Schizosaccharomyces pombe: one gene and its partners. Changing the gene in region 2 together with the main gene of any one other region gives a genetic interaction. Each region holds a gene or a part of one and is shown on either strand. Other genes may lie near its edges.

What was found.
Region 1: of mcb1 (region 2) and sum3, a mutation in one rescues a mutant of the other (synthetic rescue), as found in Schizosaccharomyces pombe (one study listed by BioGRID).
Region 3: mutations in mcb1 (region 2) and mcm4 impair growth when combined (synthetic growth defect), as found in Schizosaccharomyces pombe (one study listed by BioGRID).
Region 4: of mcb1 (region 2) and crm1, changing one suppresses a phenotype caused by changing the other (phenotypic suppression), as found in Schizosaccharomyces pombe (one study listed by BioGRID).

Annotation. Positions count from the first base shown.
Region 1 is NC_003421.2:973,497-978,547, forward strand, and holds sum3 (translation initiation RNA helicase Sum3), read right to left. Parts: upstream 3,218-5,051; 5' UTR 3,176-3,217; coding exon 1,265-3,175; 3' UTR 503-1,264; downstream 1-502. Other genes in the region: protein SVP26, read left to right, coding at 3,945-4,628. UniProt on the Schizosaccharomyces pombe protein: ATP-binding RNA helicase involved in translation initiation. Remodels RNA in response to ADP and ATP concentrations by facilitating disruption, but also formation of RNA duplexes. Inactivation of ded1 blocks mitotic cell cycle progression at G1 and G2/M.
Region 2 is NC_003424.3:904,918-909,299, reverse strand, and holds mcb1 (mini-chromosome maintenance complex-binding protein mcb1), read right to left. Parts: upstream 2,504-4,382; 5' UTR 2,417-2,503; coding exon 2,255-2,416; exon of another isoform or gene 2,211-2,254; coding exon 867-2,210; 3' UTR 501-866; downstream 1-500. Other genes in the region: SUMO E3 ligase Pli1, read right to left, coding at 1-376, 429-461; DNA replication factor C complex subunit Rfc4, read left to right, coding at 2,945-3,012, 3,156-3,267, 3,323-4,171; rce1 (CAAX prenyl protease), read right to left, coding at 4,168-4,382.
Region 3 is NC_003421.2:898,440-903,967, forward strand, and holds mcm4 (MCM complex subunit Mcm4/Cdc21), read left to right. Parts: upstream 1-1,948; 5' UTR 1,949-1,962; coding exon 1,963-4,698; 3' UTR 4,699-4,986; downstream 4,987-5,528. Other genes in the region: 19S proteasome regulatory subunit rpn1302, read right to left, coding at 1-193, 304-388, 586-716; SPOM_SPCC24B10.02C (NAD/NADH kinase), read right to left, coding at 5,111-5,528. UniProt on the Schizosaccharomyces pombe protein: Acts as a component of the mcm2-7 complex (mcm complex) which is the putative replicative helicase essential for 'once per cell cycle' DNA replication initiation and elongation in eukaryotic cells.
Region 4 is NC_003424.3:2,802,316-2,808,800, reverse strand, and holds crm1 (karyopherin/importin beta family nuclear export signal receptor Crm1), read right to left. Parts: upstream 4,878-6,485; 5' UTR 4,680-4,877; intron 4,414-4,679; 5' UTR 4,294-4,413; coding exon 1,057-4,293; 3' UTR 548-1,056; downstream 1-547. Other genes in the region: transport protein Ugo1, read left to right, coding at 1-259.

The DNA of each region.
Region 1 (5,051 bases), on a different chromosome or scaffold from region 2:
TTGCAATTTTTTGATGAAATTGTGCTGTGATCTGTTTCCTTAATTTTTGTTCTCTTTAATCTCAACAATCTATTGAATACTAAGTTTAAGTATGGTTGTTTATTCTTTTAATCCTAGTCATGGTTACTCATTAATATTCGTTTTTCAATTAATTGAAAAGTTACTTATTTAATTGAGAACGTAAAAACATAATCATCAAGCATTTTTCTTCAACATTTACTTAAGTTACCCTTGACATTGTCCTCACTTATTAATATGTATGTCGTCAAAGCATATAGGTCCAAGTGGTTCACCATTTATTTCTAATTTTTTATTTAATTATTTCTTTTGATTGTGACTACTGCGACACAATAAATAAACAATTGTCTAGTCCAACTAGACCCTTAAATACTTTCTGTATCAGTGATCATTGTAGCTGCGTTACTTAATCTTTCGTATATATTTCTAGTATTTCTGACTGTACATATCACTAATTACATTCCTTAATTTTACTAATAACTAATTTGCCTAATAACATGTGTATAGTTTATTATTGCAATAAAATTTATTAATTTGCTCTAGCGCGCATCCTATTATTACAAATTGCAGAATCGTAAACCTTTTCCTAAAGAAATATTACCCAAGAACCACAATCCAACAAAAGAGAGACACTAACCTATTTCCAAGTTCTCTCGAAAAAAAGAAACACAGACTCGTAAAAAAAGATCCATCATTGATTTTTAAAATCATGAGCTCAAAGCCTGTAGAAATTTTCAACATATCAATAGATATATATAAAATATGTATAATATATGTCATTTTGTATGCCCGTCGTATTCGTACATCCATTTCGTCAATGCAAATGTTTCAAATATGCATATTCTATTTAAAAAGTCCCGTGAATAAATCATGCACGCATTGACTTCTGAAACTTTCGCCTCATCTTATTATGCAATAAAACACAACACCGCATACTAAATTTTGCCGGATCGTTTTTACATAACGCTTCCACAACCGCAACGATTAAAAAGCACACCCAATGAGCATCCGTCCAAGCCCAGCTTAAAAATGAAAAAAACCGGACCTAAACAAAAGACGTTTCGTGCAACTCACTCAATCACAGTTAATTAAAGCCAAATATTTCGCCCTTTCTGACATCCTCGCGCTTTGCAAATGTCAGCAAAACAATGGACACAATACTTCGGCCTCTGACTAAAGGAAATCATCAGAAGCCTGTGCATAACACAGATGCACGTAACCCAATAAAAATATTTTTTTAGGAAATTTACCACCAGGATTGAGCACTACCACTGTTGTAAGTGTTACCATGATGAGGAGTACGGCTTTCAAAGCCACCGTATCCAGAGTAGCTAGGGCCAGAGCTATAACCACTACTACTATTAGTAGGGCGACGGAAGTCGCGAGCACCATAAGCATTGCCTCCACGACCACCACGACCACTGTAACGGCCACCACGTCCATTACCACCAAAGCTGCTTTCACGAGCCATGGCGATCAAAAAGCTGGGGCACTCTTGATTGGCCTCTTGCAACAACTCAATCAATTCCTTAGCGATACCCTTGTTGTTACGGTTGAAAAACGCAACAGCTTGACCAGTGTTACCAGCACGACCGGTACGACCAATTCTATGCACATAGTCATCAATGTCAGTAGGTAAATCGTAGTTAATAACATGCGTGACATTGGGAATATCTAAACCACGACTGGCGACGGCAGTAGCGACCATAATGGAAGTACGGCCAGAGCGGAACAATTCCAAAGCGCGCTCACGCTCACGTTGGGTACGGTCACCGTGAATGCTTGTTGCGGGGAAGTTGCTATTCAACAAATAGTCGGTAAGTGTGTCAGCCATGCGTTTAGTCTCTACAAAGATCAAGGTAAGACCCTCAGGAGGTAAGGTGTGAAGAATATCAAGCAAGTAACTACGCTTTTCAGAATCTTCAACGTGTACGACCTTTTGAGTAATATTCTCCGAAGTGGAACCGACACGACCAACACTCAAGAAGACATAATCCTTTAAAAAGTCACGAGCTAAAAGTTGGATATCACGGGGGAAAGTGGCAGAAAACATGAGAGTTTGACGTTCTTCAACGCTTGTCATGTCAGCACCTTCCACAATGTGACGAATTTGAGGCTCGAAACCCATATCCAGCATACGATCAGCTTCATCCAACACCAAAAACTTAATGTTGGCCAAAGAAATACGACCACGATCGATTAAATCAACCAAACGACCAGGAGTAGCAGAAAGCAAGTCGCAACCTTGGTCAATTTGGCGGATTTGAGCACGAATATCGGCACCACCGTAAACAGCACAGGGACGCACCCAAGAACGGTAACAGAATTTACGAGATTCCTCATGAATTTGACAAACTAATTCACGAGTGGGAGCCAAAATAAGGGTGGTAGGATAGGCTTTGCGAGGACGATAACCCATACCGGCATCCTGATCAACAGGAACAGCGGCAGGTCCTTTATCGAAAGCAAGAGAAAGAATAGGGAATAAGAAACCAGCAGTCTTACCGGAACCGGTTTGGGCACAGGCCATCAAATCACGTCCGGATGTGACAATAGGAATGGAGTTCTTTTGAACTGGGGTGGGCTGAGTGTAGCCAGAGAGTTTAATGTTTTGAAGAAGATGAGAGTTCAAAGGAGGAGAAGTGAACTCATTAACAGGCTCGATATCTCCACCGGAAACTTCAACAGGGATGTCATCATACTTTTCGAAGTTAATACCAGTTGAAACTTTGGTACCATCAGCAACGGCACCAAATAATTGACGCTCCAAAAGAGTGTTACGGGCTCCGATAACGTGTTGACCATCTCTCCATTGGCCAAATCCACGGTTGTTACGATAACCACCGCCGTTGCTGTAACCACCTTCACGACCGCCACGGTAATTATTTTGGCGGCCCTCGCCACCACCATAATGACCGCCACGATTGTATTCACGGCGACCTCCATAGTTAGAGGAAAACTCACTAGGAGTTTGAGACCTAGAAGAGCCACGAGATGAGACAGACTCATCGTCGCCAACAGCTGGAGCTGCGCCAGCGCTTGGCTTATCCCTAGCAAAAGGAGGAATATACTTCCTAGGTCTGCTGATGTTTGTTTTTTGCAATTTTTCAGTCACAGAACCAACTGAATCTACTTGTTGCTGTACATTGTCGCTCATAATATTTTTTGTATTTCTGAGTTGAAGTGTTTGGTTGAGGTTAGGTTAAGTTGGCCATTAAATGCTACCAAATACACGATGGGACTGCCCTTTTTAACCCCTCAGCAAATTAGATATGTCAACGAAAACAATTTTTAACAAGGATAAAAAGTCATTTAAACAATTTAAAATTATTTTTTAGTTAATTTTGATACCAATATGTATGGGTATTAATAGTTTTTTTGAAACCTTAAGTCAGTACACGTGCTATCATCTGACTACGTTAAAGAATAAAAATTAATTGAAAGGTTTTACTATATAAATATATTTATAATCTATATAACTAAACATTTAGGCACCGTAATGTAGGTACACGATTGCCACTCACCAAAACTAAAAACCACCGTTATGCTCGTCTCTAAATAGCAGACTTAGTATACATATTAATCATTTTAATTGGAATAAGAAAATTCAACTTTCAAATTTACAATTATTAGCATACAGTTTGCTTTCTGTTTAAGGTCGTAGTGATATTCAGGAGTACCAGCCATGGTTTTGCTGTCTTCCCATACCAACCAATACTACAAAATATAGAAATTGATATTTTTATTGTGCCTTGCAACTTAAGAAATTGCTAAAACCTTTAGGCAGAAGCTTTGTAAGCGGTGCTGTGCATTAAAACCGTATTTATTCGACAAATCCGAACATATTTATCTATATTGAAGAAGTCCAAAGAAAATCACATTTGTTAAGATTATTAGATACGACATAATTAAAAGCGTTTTTCAAAATGATTGTCCTTAATGCTCTGTCGTACTTGGGTATCGTTTTGGGATTCATAGGCATGACCGTGAGTATCGCATCAGCTTTGTATTACATTTCAGAGTTTGTAGAAGAGCACTCTAGGCTCGCAAAGGCGTTTTTATGTCGGTTGGTTTATTTTATTATGGCGGTAATGGTGTTTTTGGTTATATTTGATGGTTTTCCTTTTTGGCTCTCGGCATTCTCCATTTTCAGTCATTACATTTATAAAATCAACTTTGATACCTTTCCTTTCTTCTCATTTAAGAGAATGAGATTTTTGCTAGCATGTTTCCTTATTGTCGCGAATCATATCTTATGGGTCCGCTTTTTCCAGGTGCATGAATTCCCTATTAAACCTCGTGGACTCACTTACGATTTTGTTGGTCAACGCCTTTTGACCTCTCGTGCTTCCTTTTCACAAGTTGCTTCATTTATGGGGGTATGCGTATGGTCTGTTCCTATTGGTATTTTTGTTTCCTTTACCGCTGCTGACAATACACTTCCTACCATTACAACCCCGTCTTCCTCGTCCCCTGATGCTTATTCTTCTGGATCATCTCGTCGGACGTCGAATGTACTTCGACAAGCTTATAAAAAGTTAGGTATCTTCGTCGAACGTAGTCTTACCTCTTTGGGGTTGAGTGATCGTTCAAGTGAACGTTACGTCTGAGTTGAGTTTGAGGGATGCTTGTCTTTTTAAATTAAGGATTCGTTTAACTTTACTGTAATGTCTGTACTTCTTATGTGATCATTTACTCACAACATGTTGCATCTCTTTTTTTTTTCGACTTTTATTTTGTATATAGTTTTCTTCATACTTTCTTCATCAACACTTTAACTTTTTCTCGGTCAGTTTGAGCGAACAAAATTATCCTTCTTTTACGTTTTGTCGTTGTTCTTTAGGATTGCCTATTGTTATTTTTTTCAACATGGAAATTGTATTGTCAATTTGACTTAAATTTCATCTCGGACGTGTAGAAAATGCATTTAAAGGAAATAGATGACGCCTTTTCATATTCATATGAAACGGAGTTTTTTACGTCTTGTTCATAACGATTTTATCAATAAAAATTAACATGATAGAAAGCTAAAT
Region 2 (4,382 bases):
GTGCATTGAATTGTTCCAAAATGTCATAAAAGGGACTTTTTCGAAATCGTATTCGCGAATGAACAACTGGGGCGAAAGGACGGCTGTATGATCTATTTCCAGAAGCTGAACTAGGTGGAGCAATTGGAGCAGCAGCACTATATATCTGATATGTGTTGTACTTTAAGATACATACGGCACTTGTAACATCGCCATCGATTGCCTTTTTCAATGCTTCCCAAGAGGTTGTGTTGTTTTCTATAGCTATCCTCTCTATTAGTTGTTTAATTCTGGTAATGAGCTCAGCTTTTGTTCCTGAAAGACGAAGTCCAAAAACACGAAGTATATCTTTCAGTTGAGGTATAATAAGACCAGTTTCCAGTCGCTTTAGTACATTCTAAACATTCATTTTGTTAGTTAACTTGTAAATATCTTATTATTGGGCTTACTGGAAGCTCCTGTAAAAAGTTCGCCTGGTTCATTGAGTTTTTAGACTGCTTGCCTAAACCGTCGATTTACACATATGTTATATGCAATGACTGCTTCCGTATAGGTATTTGAAAGACAAAGAAATCAAATTTTAGCTAAAAATACAATGAATTATATTTATTCCTTGAATCTCTGCAAACGCCTGGTTGGCAAAACTTGAATTTAATATTTGAAGATAAGGAAGTATATGGCAGTGCGGTATGTGATAATGTAAGAAAACAAAAAAAAAACGGGCAAGTGAGCTTTACTTGTAGTAATAATTAAATAACAATATAAATGAACTTTTGATGAATTTGATCGAATGAATGAGGAAATTAACTTGGAAATTCCAAAAAGACATGAAAAGTAATTTCTAACATTGGTTAAATGATGTTGATTATAAGAAAATATGCGATCAATCAGTTGACAGTCCAATGATTGATTAGACTACGGGCAGCCTCAAAATCAATTCTTGAAACCAGTTGACGACCGAAACTCTTCGCGTAGAGACGAGAGCAATTGATCTGTAATGAAAGTGTTTTTTCATTGATTTCTTTATTATATTGACGGGAGCTCACATATGTAGATTGAATATAATCCAGCATGTTTTCGGGAATATTAGCACGCATGTTCCACATGTGAAAAAAATTACAAAACTCTTGCAGCTCATCCGAATCAGTTGGAAATTCAATAGTGTCCGGAGAATCGCCTCTACATCTACAACCGACATCAGCTGGCAAAATAGATCTTCCATGGCTTAATATAATTATTCGAACATTACTGTGAACGGTAAAAGAACTGAAAGGATAAAAAAATGTTAAATCCTGTTGAGATATTAGGGAAGACAAAAACTGAACGTTACGGCATCCGACATCGTTTAAGGTTCCACTCGATAGTTCAGTTTCATCAAGAACTATAAGGGTGCCAGGAGCCACTTGCAAATGGCTAGTATCTAATGTCTCTCCATCACTCAAGGGATAAAGCGGCTTCCTGTTAAGCTCGGCGACATTAACTTTTTGAATCACCATTCTTTTTATCAAAGGCCGTAACACAGAAACTAACTGGGACACTAATTCAGAGGTGCAATTTGTTAAATTTAAAGTAAAACCACCTATAACCAAACCAGTGGTTTTATGAACAACGTTGGAAAGAAGAGCAAGCATAAGACTTTCCGCAGCTATATTTTCACCAAGGACTTTTTCAAAATATTTTAATATTTTTGGTCGAATGATCTCAGCTTGCTGAGGAGAAGGGGCTTGAGTAGCTGATTGCGTATAATCCTTAAAACATAACATGTGTAAAATGGGTAAACCATCCGAGTATTCACTTGGTTCTTCATAAATTCCAATAACATCGATTGCTTGACAAACTTGAACTTTAGTTTCCATTCCGCCATAGCATTTAACACAAACGCCGGTATCATTACTTGCTTGTAAGCGGTTTGAGTACTTCAATGACCGTTCTTTCAGACTCTCGCTTCCCCAGTTTCCCAAAGCTTCTATAACAGGAAGAGTTCTTTCTCCAGGAACATTTGTCAGAAACAGTGAATATCTTTCATCTAGGACAATTTTAGATTCATCTAAATGCATTTCATCTTCGCTGAAATCAAGTATGTATCTACAGCCTCTCCAAATGTTTTCATTTACCTCTACAGCTCCAGCAAAAAATTCATGCCCAAAATTGGTGTCTTGCACCATACCTTGAAGACGAAGTAGTTGACCAGTCTTTAACTCAGACCATTTGCAGTCAAGATAGTTTGGAATCTAAATATTCAGTGTCAAATAAGAGAAAAAACCACTTAACAAACCTTTCTTATTCTTTCCTCTGTAGCGAAAATATTAGAAACTTCTTCATCGATGCCTAAAGTGCCTTGTAAATCGGGCTTAGATCCTGCAAACAATGCATCCTGAAATCTTTGAAGAAACGATCTTGGATTTTCGATAAAAGAATCAGATAAAGCAATTACCATATTATAAATATATAATTTTATCCTTTAAACCTATTGAAACCAGTAATGATAAAAGATGTTGATATTGCAATGTGCAATGTTCATTTCACGTGAGCGGATTGACTTTAAGTACCCTTTTCTATGGCGTTGCATATACCTAACGATGTACTAATTGCTGTATAAATTCGCTTAATAAGAAGCTTAATTTATTAAGAAACAGAAGGCGTGAATTTAAAGAGTTATCTATTGCTTATTACTACTCTTAAAAGAGAAAAATATTAGAATTTTACAGATTATTGATCGTTTTTGTAATAATATAAATATATTGATGTGCTTGTTTTCATCATTTGTGTCGATTGTACAAACATATATTTTAAAGCTAGCTTTGATAGTGCATTTAAGAATAAAAAAAATTTTCAGATTTACATATTAATGCTCTTTTCTATTCGCGATGGGTGAAGTGACTACCATGCAGTGGTTAAAATACTCAACAAATTTACTAGTTCACTGGAACTCAGTACTGATGTTACTAGTTCAATAACACTGAATATGAGTAATGCAGTATCATCATCAGTATTTGGAGAGAAAAATAACTCTGTAGCTTATGAGCTGCCATGGTATGTATATATTATGAGCAATTAAAACGTCCTTTATGAAGGTTTTAGTGTTCAGCTATTACGATTGCTTCTTGGTGACTCAGGCATCTTTTCATAATTTAAAGGTTCAATATAATATAGTATGCTGATCTATAAACTTATAGGGTCGAAAAGTATCGTCCAATCGTCCTGGATGACATTGTTGGTAACGAGGAGACGATTGACCGACTTAAAGTTATTGCCAAGGAAGGGAATATGCCTCATCTAGTTATTTCGGTAACCTATTTTTTTTTAATTATTATTTATACTACATGCTGACTTATATTTATAGGGAATGCCTGGTATCGGAAAAACGACGTCTATTCTTTGTTTAGCACATGCATTACTTGGCCCAGCATATAAGGAAGGTGTATTAGAATTAAATGCTTCAGATGAACGAGGTATCGATGTAGTGAGAAATAGAATTAAAGCATTCGCACAGAAAAAAGTCATACTGCCACCTGGAAGGCATAAGATCATTATTTTAGACGAAGCAGATAGTATGACGGCTGGAGCTCAACAAGCTTTGCGTAGAACTATGGAAATCTACAGTAATACAACGCGTTTTGCACTTGCTTGCAATCAATCCAACAAAATTATTGAACCTATTCAATCGCGGTGTGCAATTCTCCGATACTCACGTCTTACGGATCAACAGGTTTTACAGCGTTTATTGAATATATGTAAAGCGGAAAAAGTCAATTATACAGATGATGGTTTGGCTGCCCTTATCATGACAGCAGAAGGTGATATGCGTCAAGCAGTGAACAATCTACAGAGCACTGTTGCTGGATTCGGTCTTGTGAACGGTGAAAACGTTTTCCGGGTCGCCGATCAGCCTTCACCTGTAGCGATACATGCCATGCTAACTGCTTGTCAATCTGGAAACATCGACGTCGCCCTTGAAAAACTTCAGGGAATATGGGATTTGGGGTTCAGTGCTGTGGACATTGTCACTAATATGTTTAGAGTAGTAAAGACAATGGACAGTATTCCGGAATTTTCAAGATTAGAAATGCTTAAGGAAATTGGCCAAACTCATATGATTATTTTAGAGGGTGTGCAAACCTTGTTGCAGTTAAGTGGTTTAGTATGTCGCCTTGCTAAGTCACAGATGAAGCCGGAGTCTTTTATTATTTAGTTTAATGGCACCAGTCTTGGTTCAAAGTCTTGATGATTATTAAAATCAGTAATACCCCAAGTCATATAAAATATCAAAACCCCTAACAATAGTAACGTGTAATAAATCCTAGTCTGATTTCTGTTTCCAATTTTTCCGTACAAAGTTGGCAGCCCCATTGAATTACAAAAAGCATGTACTAAAAATGAAGGAAATAAGCTATGCGTGGAAA
Region 3 (5,528 bases), on a different chromosome or scaffold from region 2:
GAGTCGTATTCACAGGGTCAGCAATTAATTGATTGATTAAGGAAGCTGTTTCCTTGTCTTTTTCATCACTATACTCCTGCATCCAGTAAAAATGAATCTGCGAAGAGGATTTAAATTTTAGTGCATATACGCGTCCCGTGGTACATTCATCAATTTTGATAAACTCTGCTTCTTCTGGAAATATGATGTAGTCCTTCATTATATGTTAGTAAACATAAACCAAATTAAAAAAAAAAAAACGCAAAAGTAAATTTATATATATAAATAGGTATACTTTGCAATTGATTTAAATTGTCTTCATACATCTTCTACTTCTCTAGAAACCCTGGCCCTTTCTTTCCAATAGAAATGCAATAATTCATCAGAAGCCATTTGCATATAGATAACTCTAAACAAATGTCAGTATTAAAAATCAGATCTTTTAACTTTATAAACAGAAAACAATTCCACAAAACCCAACAGTGTGGATTTTCACGCATCCTTCCAACGTAAACATGCAAAGAAGCTTCATAAACAATTCTTTGGGTAGAATTTCGTTTTCCCAGTAGAAAGGACTACTATCTATATTATTATTATAGTACATACCCTTTTCGGTGATCAGCTTGCAGAATATTCGTTCCTGGCTTTCTTTGAAGTTTTCCAGCTTTTACGGAGACTAATCCATACTTTCCTCTCTCGCTAGTCTCGTTTCTTACTCTTCCAAAAACTGATTCCATTTGTAATTTATTTTTTGTCAACTCAAAAGCTCACGATTATTGACCTTGTGAATTGTTGTGGTATAGTTGAGTATGCAGTGTACACAGTGCAAGTGAGCAAAGTAATCCACACAAACGTATCATGTCTATAGACATGATTTCTCAAAATCATTTAATTTTCTAATTGTCGCCACTATAATCATCTTTTATCATGTAATAGACAATCTTTTTAGGTGGTTAACTGCTCTAATATTTGAAGCTGATTTATCAAGCCGCATTTGATGGTTTCGCCTAAAAAGATGTTTTAATAGCAAATTAATACTACACTTTAAAAGGAAAAGGAACGTTCCACTATGCAGTGGAATTCATCTCTTAAAGGGCCTTGAAAAGACATAAGCCAATTTTTGTATCATCGTTAATGGCATCAATAGTAAAACAGAATAAACCAGTTTTCACCAATTATACATAGAAGAAAATCAAGATACAATAAATGTCTATAATCCTTTCAGGTTTTGAAGAGCAAAACATAATCGAGAAAAAGTATGCGTCCTACACAATGGTATTTCACTAGAAATAATAGAAAAATACATTCATACACTATTTGAAATTCACACCATATAACTCATAATATACAGACTTAAGTTTTTTTTATTAGAGACAGTCCAGTAGTCGAATGGTCAAATGAACTCTACAAATGGTTAATATAATAACAACTCAGGTATTCAATATGAGAGAAAATTCAAAATAAACCTTATTTTAAGAAATATTATTAGTAAAATTACTAAATCACCATCTGCCCTCTTCAATTAGCGTCAAATCACAGTTAATAGATTCGACCTTCAAATACAACTGGTAGTTCCAAATTGCAAAAACGATCATCTCAAAATGTTAAACTAGCATAACGTTTAATTAAAGCAATGTAATCCTTTATTTCAACATTCTTTTCATATTTCTCTTCATTCGTCCAAAAAAATAGAATATCACTTAAAAGGAAGTAAGTCAATAACAAATTCATAATACCTTATTTATGATAACAAATTTGCTTTAATTGATCCTAATATCTAGTGTCGCAAAGTTTTTTAGTTTACATTTTCATAGTCAATTACTGGTAGCTTGATGATCAATGGAGAATATGACAAATTGTTAAAAAATTATACAAATTTCCAATTATTTAAATCTTTGCTATGCTATTTATCTCTTCATTGTTGTATGTTTATGAGTAGTTACTCTACTCCCTTACACTGTCTTTCTACACCCACCACGAGTCATGTCCTCTAGTCAGCAAAGTGGCAGAGCCAATGAGTTGAGGACTCCTGGAAGAGCTAACAGCTCTTCAAGAGAAGCAGTGGATTCTTCTCCGTTATTTTTTCCTGCTTCGTCTCCTGGTTCTACACGCCTTACAACACCGAGGACTACAGCGCGTACACCTCTCGCTTCCTCTCCTTTACTGTTTGAATCTAGTTCACCAGGTCCAAACATTCCTCAGAGTTCACGTTCTCATCTTTTATCTCAGCGTAATGACTTGTTCCTTGACAGTAGTTCGCAGAGAACACCGCGCTCGACAAGACGTGGAGACATCCATTCTAGCGTGCAAATGTCTACCCCATCTCGTCGAAGAGAAGTTGACCCTCAACGTCCCGGGGTAAGCACTCCTAGTAGCTTGTTGTTTTCTGGGTCAGATGCACTCACGTTTAGTCAGGCGCACCCAAGCAGTGAAGTAGCTGATGACACTGTCCGTGTCATTTGGGGAACAAATGTATCTATTCAAGAAAGTATCGCTTCCTTTCGTGGATTTCTACGTGGGTTTAAGAAAAAGTATCGACCTGAATACAGAAATGAACTTATGCCACCTCCTGATGCCGAACAACTAGTGTATATTGAAGCGCTACGAAACATGCGTATTATGGGTTTGGAAATATTAAATCTTGATGTTCAGGATTTAAAGCATTATCCCCCAACCAAGAAGCTATATCACCAGCTTTACTCATACCCTCAAGAAATCATTCCTATCATGGATCAAACCATTAAAGACGTTATGCTAGACTTGTTAGGAACTAATCCTCCCGAAGATGTTCTTAATGACATTGAGCTTAAAATTTACAAAATTCGTCCTTTTAATCTTGAAAAATGCATTAATATGCGTGATCTTAATCCTGGTGACATTGACAAATTGATCTCTATTAAAGGTCTGGTACTTAGGTGTACACCTGTAATACCCGACATGAAGCAAGCATTTTTTCGATGTTCAGTTTGTGGTCATTGTGTTACCGTGGAAATCGATAGAGGGCGAATTGCTGAGCCCATAAAATGCCCTAGAGAAGTCTGTGGTGCTACAAATGCAATGCAGCTAATTCATAATCGTTCTGAATTCGCCGATAAGCAAGTTATTAAACTCCAAGAGACACCTGACGTGGTACCGGATGGCCAAACCCCACACTCTGTAAGTCTGTGCGTATATGATGAACTGGTTGACTCTGCTAGAGCAGGAGATCGTATAGAAGTCACTGGGATTTTTCGCTGTGTACCAGTTCGTTTGAACCCTCGCATGCGTACTGTAAAATCATTATTTAAAACTTATGTCGACGTTGTTCACATAAAAAAGCAGGACAAACGTCGTTTGGGTACGGATCCTTCTACGTTGGAAAGCGATATTGCTGAAGATGCTGCTTTACAAATTGATGAAGTACGGAAAATATCAGACGAAGAAGTGGAAAAAATTCAACAAGTTTCAAAGCGGGACGATATATACGATATTCTTTCCCGGTCTCTGGCACCTAGCATTTACGAAATGGATGATGTTAAAAAGGGGCTTTTGCTACAGCTATTTGGTGGAACGAACAAGTCTTTTCATAAAGGCGCAAGTCCGAGATATCGTGGAGACATAAATATCTTGATGTGTGGTGATCCATCTACGTCTAAGTCTCAAATTTTGAAGTATGTCCATAAGATAGCACCCAGAGGTGTTTACACTAGTGGCAAGGGTTCATCTGCTGTTGGTTTAACTGCCTATATTACTCGTGACCAAGACACGAAGCAACTAGTCTTGGAAAGTGGTGCTTTGGTACTGTCAGATGGGGGCATTTGCTGCATTGATGAGTTTGACAAAATGTCCGATGCTACACGTTCTATTCTTCATGAAGTTATGGAGCAGCAAACCGTTACAGTTGCCAAGGCTGGCATTATTACTACTTTGAACGCTAGGACTTCTATTTTAGCTAGTGCAAATCCAATTGGAAGCAAATACAATCCAGACTTGCCTGTCACCAAAAATATTGATCTTCCGCCTACTCTCTTATCTAGATTTGATTTGGTGTATTTAATATTAGACCGCGTGGATGAAACGCTGGATAGGAAGCTCGCAAATCATATTGTTTCTATGTACATGGAAGATACTCCTGAACATGCTACAGATATGGAGGTCTTTAGTGTGGAATTTTTGACAAGCTATATCACATATGCTAGAAATAATATTAATCCTGTCATTAGTGAAGAGGCAGCAAAGGAACTAGTGAATGCTTATGTTGGTATGCGAAAGCTTGGGGAGGATGTGCGAGCATCTGAGAAAAGAATTACTGCTACAACAAGACAACTGGAATCAATGATTCGTCTATCTGAGGCCCATGCGAAAATGCATCTTCGCAACGTTGTTGAGGTAGGAGATGTTCTTGAAGCTGCTCGCTTGATTAAGACCGCTATTAAGGATTATGCAACTGATCCTGCAACAGGAAAGATTTCTCTTGACCTAATTTATGTTAATGAAAGAGAGACTTTGGTACCTGAAGATATGGTCAAAGAACTGGCGAATTTAATTTCAAATTTAACTGTGGGTGGAAAAACTATGTTGGTCAGTCAATTGTTAACTCGGTTTCGTGAGCAGAGTTCTACTCGCTTAGATGCTTCTGATTTCGAAGCTTGTCTGGGTGCTTTGGAAAGGCGAGGACGTATTAAGGTTATTACCAGTGCTGGACATCGCATTGTACGTTCAATTGCACAGACTGATTAATTTTTTAGCGAATAAGCTGGTATTATTCATGAGCCATAAACCATAGGTCGTTGTTGAAAATCAAAGACTACAGAGCATAATACGAATGTCTTTCTTGTTATATATACACACGTTCTTTTTGTTATAAAAATATTTTACATATTTATCGAGGGATCCTTAACATTCATTTTTCTTTTTTTTTTCGGCTTTTGAGTATGAACTGAACAATGAGTAAACATTATGAATATAAATTCGTTAATACCAAAGTTGAAATAATAATAATAATAATAATTAACATAAACTTTCAAAAAACTAACAGATATCTAAACAATCGTAACCAATAATTCGCCATGATTCGTAGAGGCAGTGTGTGCCTAATTTTAAGTATTTTCAACAGTAGTCAGATGTCATTAAAAGAAAAATGGATAGCAATTTAACCATCAATGTCTGCAGAAAATTCTCTGCAATAGGAATTATCTGTAATATCAAATTTATCGTCACTTGTATCCTTAACATCACTCAAGCTTGGTTTTCTAGAAAAGGGCTTTTGACGCTCACGCACATTCCAATTGAATTTATCTTCTAATACCTTGGTCCATTGGTATCCTGGATTTTGAATGGTTGTGAAAGGGTAATGAGACGTAACAATTGATAAATAGTCGCCTCTATGCATCTCCACAGATTCATGACGGTCAACGGAAAAGAATGCACTACTTCGAGAATCCAAAGGGATCTCAACGTTCAAAACATTGTAATCTGGTAAAATAATAGGACGGAAAGAAAGCGTATGAGGACAAACTGGTGTTACTAAAATCGCATTTAGTGCAGGATGTACCAGAGAACCACCAGCA
Region 4 (6,485 bases), 1.9 Mb from region 2:
TCTCAAATGCCCTTTAGAAATGGTACTTCGAAGAGCACAAGCCCAGTATGAATGCAACCTTCCACCCCAAACTATCGTTCCCGTAGGCAAATACACTGGTATCGTCGGTACCATATGGTGTCTTTTAAGCGAAGAAGATCCGGGTAAATTTGGAATAGAAGGTTTGTATCGTGGATGGCGAGTGGGTATTTGGGGAATGTCGAGTACCTTAGCATTGAACTACATCTCCTCTAATTTGCGTGAAGAAGTTGAATTTTAGTATTCAGGTTTTGGGTCTGATTGTCTGTTTATTAGACAAAGTCAGAAGAGACGAAAGTTCACATGGTAAATTACGGAATTCTCAAAAAGGTTTTAGTTAGGTGATGTTTTGTAATTTGGAATTTTTTTTATTCCAAATTACTACACGAATAGTCATATTTGTAGTTGTAAGTTTGATTTATGTTTAATGTTTTCGTTTTTCTTTCTTACCGTATTCTCTAACGGAATAGTAGTAGCTACATAATTTATTAAAGGTAATAATACATTTTCTAGAAGCAAAAACGTAGTTATGTGAAAATACGTTGGTGTTTCCTTTAGCAAGGTTGCATAACGCCAGCATTCAATAAAAAGGACTTCAACGTCGCATTGAGATCTCTTACACGAGACTTCATAGTGTTATTCAAGTATAGCTGCTCGTTCAATTTATAAACAGTATAAAAAATGAGGCAACCCAAATCCTTACAATGCTTTAATTTTCTAATTTACAACACTGCACGGAAAGTTGAATCTCTAAAGACTTTATGCTTTTTTATTACTTTTTTATATAGTTTGAATTGCAATCAATAACAACTGGCGCCATCATTTTGCTATCTAACACGTTGAATTACGGGCCATGTCATGTCAAAAACCCTTCTTGCTTTTCAAAAAAAAAAAAAAGAAAAAAAAGGAATTAAGTAAACTTCTCAAGTAACAGGGATAAATAACATCCACAATTAAGTCAATAGTAAAAGATACCAAATATATAATTCCTTTCATATTTTAAAGTTCTAAGCTTAAATACGTTTTTGCTGAAGAATATCATAGTTCTTCCTCCTCCATAGTAGGCATATCGACAGGTTTGATCATACCAGGAACAGTCATAGCTTTCTCCAGTTGGGCTTTTTGTTGAGCAGCCAACTCTTGTTCTTTCTCCTCCAAGTAAAGTTCAGCGTTATCCCCGCCGAATTCTTTCAATTGAATTAAAAAGTCACGTAAAGCAAGTTTAAATTTGATGCTGTCCTGATTAAGAGCTAGCACTGTCTGTACAAATTCTTGGATTTGGATAGGTTGAAGATGGGGGAAAGCTGTGACTAGTAGATTCATGATATACTGTCTTAAAAATAATTGATTGTTCATTTCCTGGGGGAATTGAGAAGGATCGTAGAGAGGTACAGTAATCTGGTTTGATTCAACCAGATAGAAAAGCCGAGCCAAAATTAAGCTTTGAAGCTTAAAGCCAGATTTGTGATCAGAGTCAGTCAAAACATACAATATATCTTGTAGTAAGCTAATATAATAAGTTTGGAAAAATGCATTTGAAACATCAGGTCCCATACTCGCCATGTTATTAATAAGTTCAAGTAAGATGTTAAGTCCGGTTTCTTGAATGTCGCGACTAACATGCTTAAAGGACCATACAATACTATTGATCACTAGTTTGAATTGTGGTGCCGGGATGTTGAGCAAAGCGGGGAAACAATTCAAGTTAATGGCGCGTAAAAGTTGAAAAAATGCTGCACGATGTTCGGGGTATTCCGAAAAATCTTTACTAATCATTTCAAGGGTGCATCCAAAAACAGCATCAAGAACAAGAGGAATCTTATCAGTAAGGAGTTCGCTAAGTTGATTGACAATGGTGGTTATCAAATTAAGAACTTCGGCATCACGAGCGTCAGGAACATTTTGTAAATAATCAAGCAACACTGCTTCGAAAAGCGCAGGAATGAGAGTATTTCCGACCAACTCCAAATCTTCCGCTCGACTTATATAAGCATCTACTAATTTCAAAATTTCTTTTTTGATAGTTCGTAATCCCCTGACGTGGGGAGTTTTGGTAGCAATATTTCCTTGGGCAGCAACCACTTCTGATATTAAACCGCTAACAGCCTTGTAAAGACCAAGCATATCTACATAATTTTTAGCAATTTGAGGATAGAAACCGGAACCAATAGAAGTACATGCAGCAACGTTTGTCTTTAGAACATTTGCTAATATTTTAACGGTCTGAGGGTCCCCTAAAACTTGAGCGTTTTGTGCAGCCTGAGCGACAATATTTTCCCAGGCCTGATTGGGTAACGCCATAAGGTCAAAAATGAGACGTTCTTGAAGATGTTTTTGAGGTTGAGCAGAAATCATATAACCGCACGCCTCATAAAAAGTATGAGTCTGTTGAGGAGTTAAATCTTCAGTCGTCTTGGCCAAGTTACGAATAATTTCGTTGATAAACGGCTCCGTTTCTCCCAGTTGTTGAGCAACAAAATGGCGACGACATTTTTGAGCAATCTTAATGAATGTATCACAAGCCATATCCTGAACACCTTCATGATATTCGTGCATAAACTCAAATAGCTTATTGACGACGGTCTTGAGAAATTTCCAATGAGCTTTTAAAAAGCGAGGATATTGACCTACAACGTACATAATGTTAGAGGCAACAACAGCCTTATTATCTTTGCCACGTTTCATTTCACAAAGGCCCAATAAATCTTTAATCACGTTAACAAGAAAGCGCTTTTCCATTTCTTCATTCATAGCACCGGATATTGAGCCGATTGCCCAACAAAGAGTATTCAAATTTTGCCAAGACCATTCTGTACCAACAACAATACGTGCAAGTTTTTCAGTCATAACGATTTCAGTATCAACCACGTCCAAGTGAGTGAGGTACACAAGAACCTCACGCATAGATTTATAAAGGGTAATTGTATCCGTCTCTTTAACAAATTCACGAACAATTTCACCTTCGTCATTTTCGACGATGAGGACTTCTTCGGGCTTGACCATGTTTTCAATCATAACCAATCGAAGAGTTGAAAGTATATCTTTATAGATATGTTTCCTTAAAGGAAGATTGGCTAACATATTAGGATTAGAAGAAATGAGAGATGTAGGACTAGAAAGATTAAGTAATGGATTCATTTCAGACATGGGGATTTGCTGCATTTCTTCATAAAGCTGAGCTACTAATTTTGACCAATATTCCAGGCAGATCTTGAAAATTTCTCGCTCGTTAATTCGCGAGATATTAAGAAGGTAGGAATGAGCATTAAGAAGGACTTCTTGATTTTCAGGATTTTCTAATGGTCGAAGATGAGAGCTAAAGAAAGCGCAAAGGAAGAGAGCCAAATTTTGGATAAAGTCTTGCTCGTTTGTGCTACTTTCTTCATAAGCCTCACGAAAATCAGTTTGTAAAGGAAGCATAGAATTAACAGAGGTCATCACAAGGTTAAACATTGTAACAAATTTATCGTTGTACTGAGGTTGAGAAGTAAGACTAGCTATTTCGGTAAGACATTCAATGGTAACGTTTCTAAAATCAGGAACATTTAGGAATCGATTTGTAATTAACTCAACAATGTTTGTTTCAAATATATAGCCAAGGGGTATCCAATTCAAAAATCGGAGAAGTGTTCCCAAGGTAGCCTTGATTAGGCTAGGTTTTTGCGCACGTTCGAGAATTTGTGAGCATAGTTGAAAAATCTCGGCGAATTCGCCACACATTTGGTTTTTTAAATTTTTGGTTTTGAGCTGAGTCATTTGCTCAGCTGAGTAATCAAAAATTTCTTCACTCAGAAGACGAAGGACTATCATGTTATTTTCACAAAGTGAAAGGTTTGTTTTACTGGCTTGGACAATTTCCGGGATGAAGTTGGGCCAATTATGAGGCCATTCTTGTTTAAGAATCTGAACGAGAGTGAGGTCCAATTTATTAAGAAAAGTTTTTTGTTGTTGCAGGACAGTTTCGTCTGACGAGTTCTTTATCATAACAGCAACAATATAATTGCGAATTCCCAATCGCTGCTCCTTGGGAAGCATTTTCCAACGAGTGGTGATAAGCTTGTCAAGGACGGAAAGAGCGATATATTTAGTTTGGGGATATTCTGATTTTTCCAAGATGGAGTAAGCCTGCGACCATGCATCTGGATGTGCCTGAAATTGGGTCAGGACTTGTTGAGCCTGTTGTTGCTCTGCACCGACACCTTGGTAAAAGGTTTGGACAACACGATCCAAAAGGGCAACGTCTAATTCGCGATCGAATGCCAGGATGCCCTCCATATTTACAAATCAAAAAGCAAAAAATGTAAATTGATGGTTGGCAACGTATTGAACAAATGTCTTAAGTAAAAAGAAAAGGATAATTACCTCAACCTTATGCGATTGTATATGTATAAAGGACTTCAGCAATCAAGTTAGAAATTTGAAAAAAAAAATAAAAAAAAGTAGAAGAAAAATTAATTTTATCGAATAGAAACAAAATAATATAAATTTTTAATCTCCTACTTGCTGATTAATTACTCCTCCCTTGCAAAAATAATAGAGAAAAAACAATAATTAACTCAAACAAGAGATCGAAGAACAGGAAATCGAAAGATAACAAGATCCTTCCTAAAAGAAGACCAAGGAAAATAACACGTATCTACACGAGCGTTCAAAGTGCTTACCTCCTTACTATAAATAAAAACCAAATAAATATTCCAAATTCTCTTGTTTATAACGAAATTCCTCGTCCCAAGAGATGCTTCACGCGATAGAAATTTGTCTTGTACTCAATGGAAACAAGAGAATGAAAGAATGTATACAGTTAAAGGCTACTGCCTAACGTCCCAGGGTAGAAATGCAAAAGAACAAGTGTTGTGTTGGAGGTAAAAGGTGTGGCCGCAAGGCTGGCAAAGAAACACGAAGAAGAATAGCAAGCATGCAGCGTATCCAATCGTTTTGCGTTATCTATTTTAAGGAAATTTAACAACGTGATTATAGGCAGAAATTGATGGGAATGAAGTAAACATAAAATGGAACGAGAATGATGGCGATAAAACTGAGTGTATCAGCAGATTGCAATTTTTTAAAAAAATGGTATTAGTTTTGAAACAAAATTTACTTCCTCCGGTAAGACGTTCGGTCGTTTCCGTGAATGGGAGAAATGCGGTAAGAATTTGATCGTAACGTCCGCGTTTAAACCAGAAATAAATGTGTCGTACGTGGATTTTTCTGTTTGTTTGTTTTGAAGTATTTAGCAAAGACAGGTCATTTGAAAAACATCAATTTATTTTTTTAAATTTTTTTATTATGAATTATTAGGTATTTTATGGTTTAATTATCAATTTACAAGTCAACGAGTAAATCAAAACAGAAGGAAAGTTTATCATTCAGTAAATTAAAAATTGTTATGAATTTAAAAAAATTGAATTACAGCTAGAATCATGTTTCCAAATTATTTTAACCAAGTTTATGGAACATCGGCACGAAATAATATACTTATTACTAAAGATTTGCCATTTCATTGTGCTTTAGTAATTCGCCTTTTTTGCTTTAACTCCTATAGCCACACAACAAAGATGTTGCTTATGTAAATAAAGGCGACTTTCCGTATGAAATGCTTCGCGGTTACAGCCACAATTCTATATGGAAATAGAAAAGAATGAAAATTGAATTAAACTGATCATGTTCGTTATTAACTCGCAGTTACCCGACATTTAGTGTGTTAAATAAAGAAAAGGGAAGGAAAAAAAAATCATTAAACCAAATATTGACCTTTGGAGTTGGCATGGCTCTCAAGGTATAAAAAATCCAATGCATTTTTTTTAACTAATTTATACGATTTTAGTCAGGTTGTGTACATATACTCTAATAAACCCAGACAATTTACAGTACACGCAACTATTTTTATAGATATATACCTCTATTTAATTAGTTTGTACAATTAAGCGGCTATGCCCGAGTGGTCTAAGGGGGCAGATTTAAGAGGCTTCTGCCTTGATCCCTGCTGTTGTAAAACGCGAGAGTTCGAACCTCTCTGGCCGCATTATATTTTACATTTTTAAATGTAAAATTAACGTGTTTTTGATTTACAGTTGAACTAAATTTTTTTCAAATTTGTTGAACATTTTGCTTTTGTTTATTCTTTTTTTTTCTTCTTTTTCATTATTCTTATCTGCAACATTTCCTTATCAAGCACGAAGAAAATTTGAATTGATAGGCGCTTTCATCCGACCAGCACTGTCCTAAATATCGCATTTGTTTGCCAAAGCCCGTATATAAATTATGTATTTCGGTGACTTTTTGTAATACCGGTTTCTGCTTTTCTGTGATATGTTGAAGTAATAACATTTGTAGAAGTATTTATATAGACCATTTCTTACTTAATTCCCTGTAACAATTGTTGGATTCAATTCTGTGTTTTCCAATTACTCTGTTCTCACGGCTAATATTAATTTTATTACACATATATTCAGCAAAAAACAAAAACA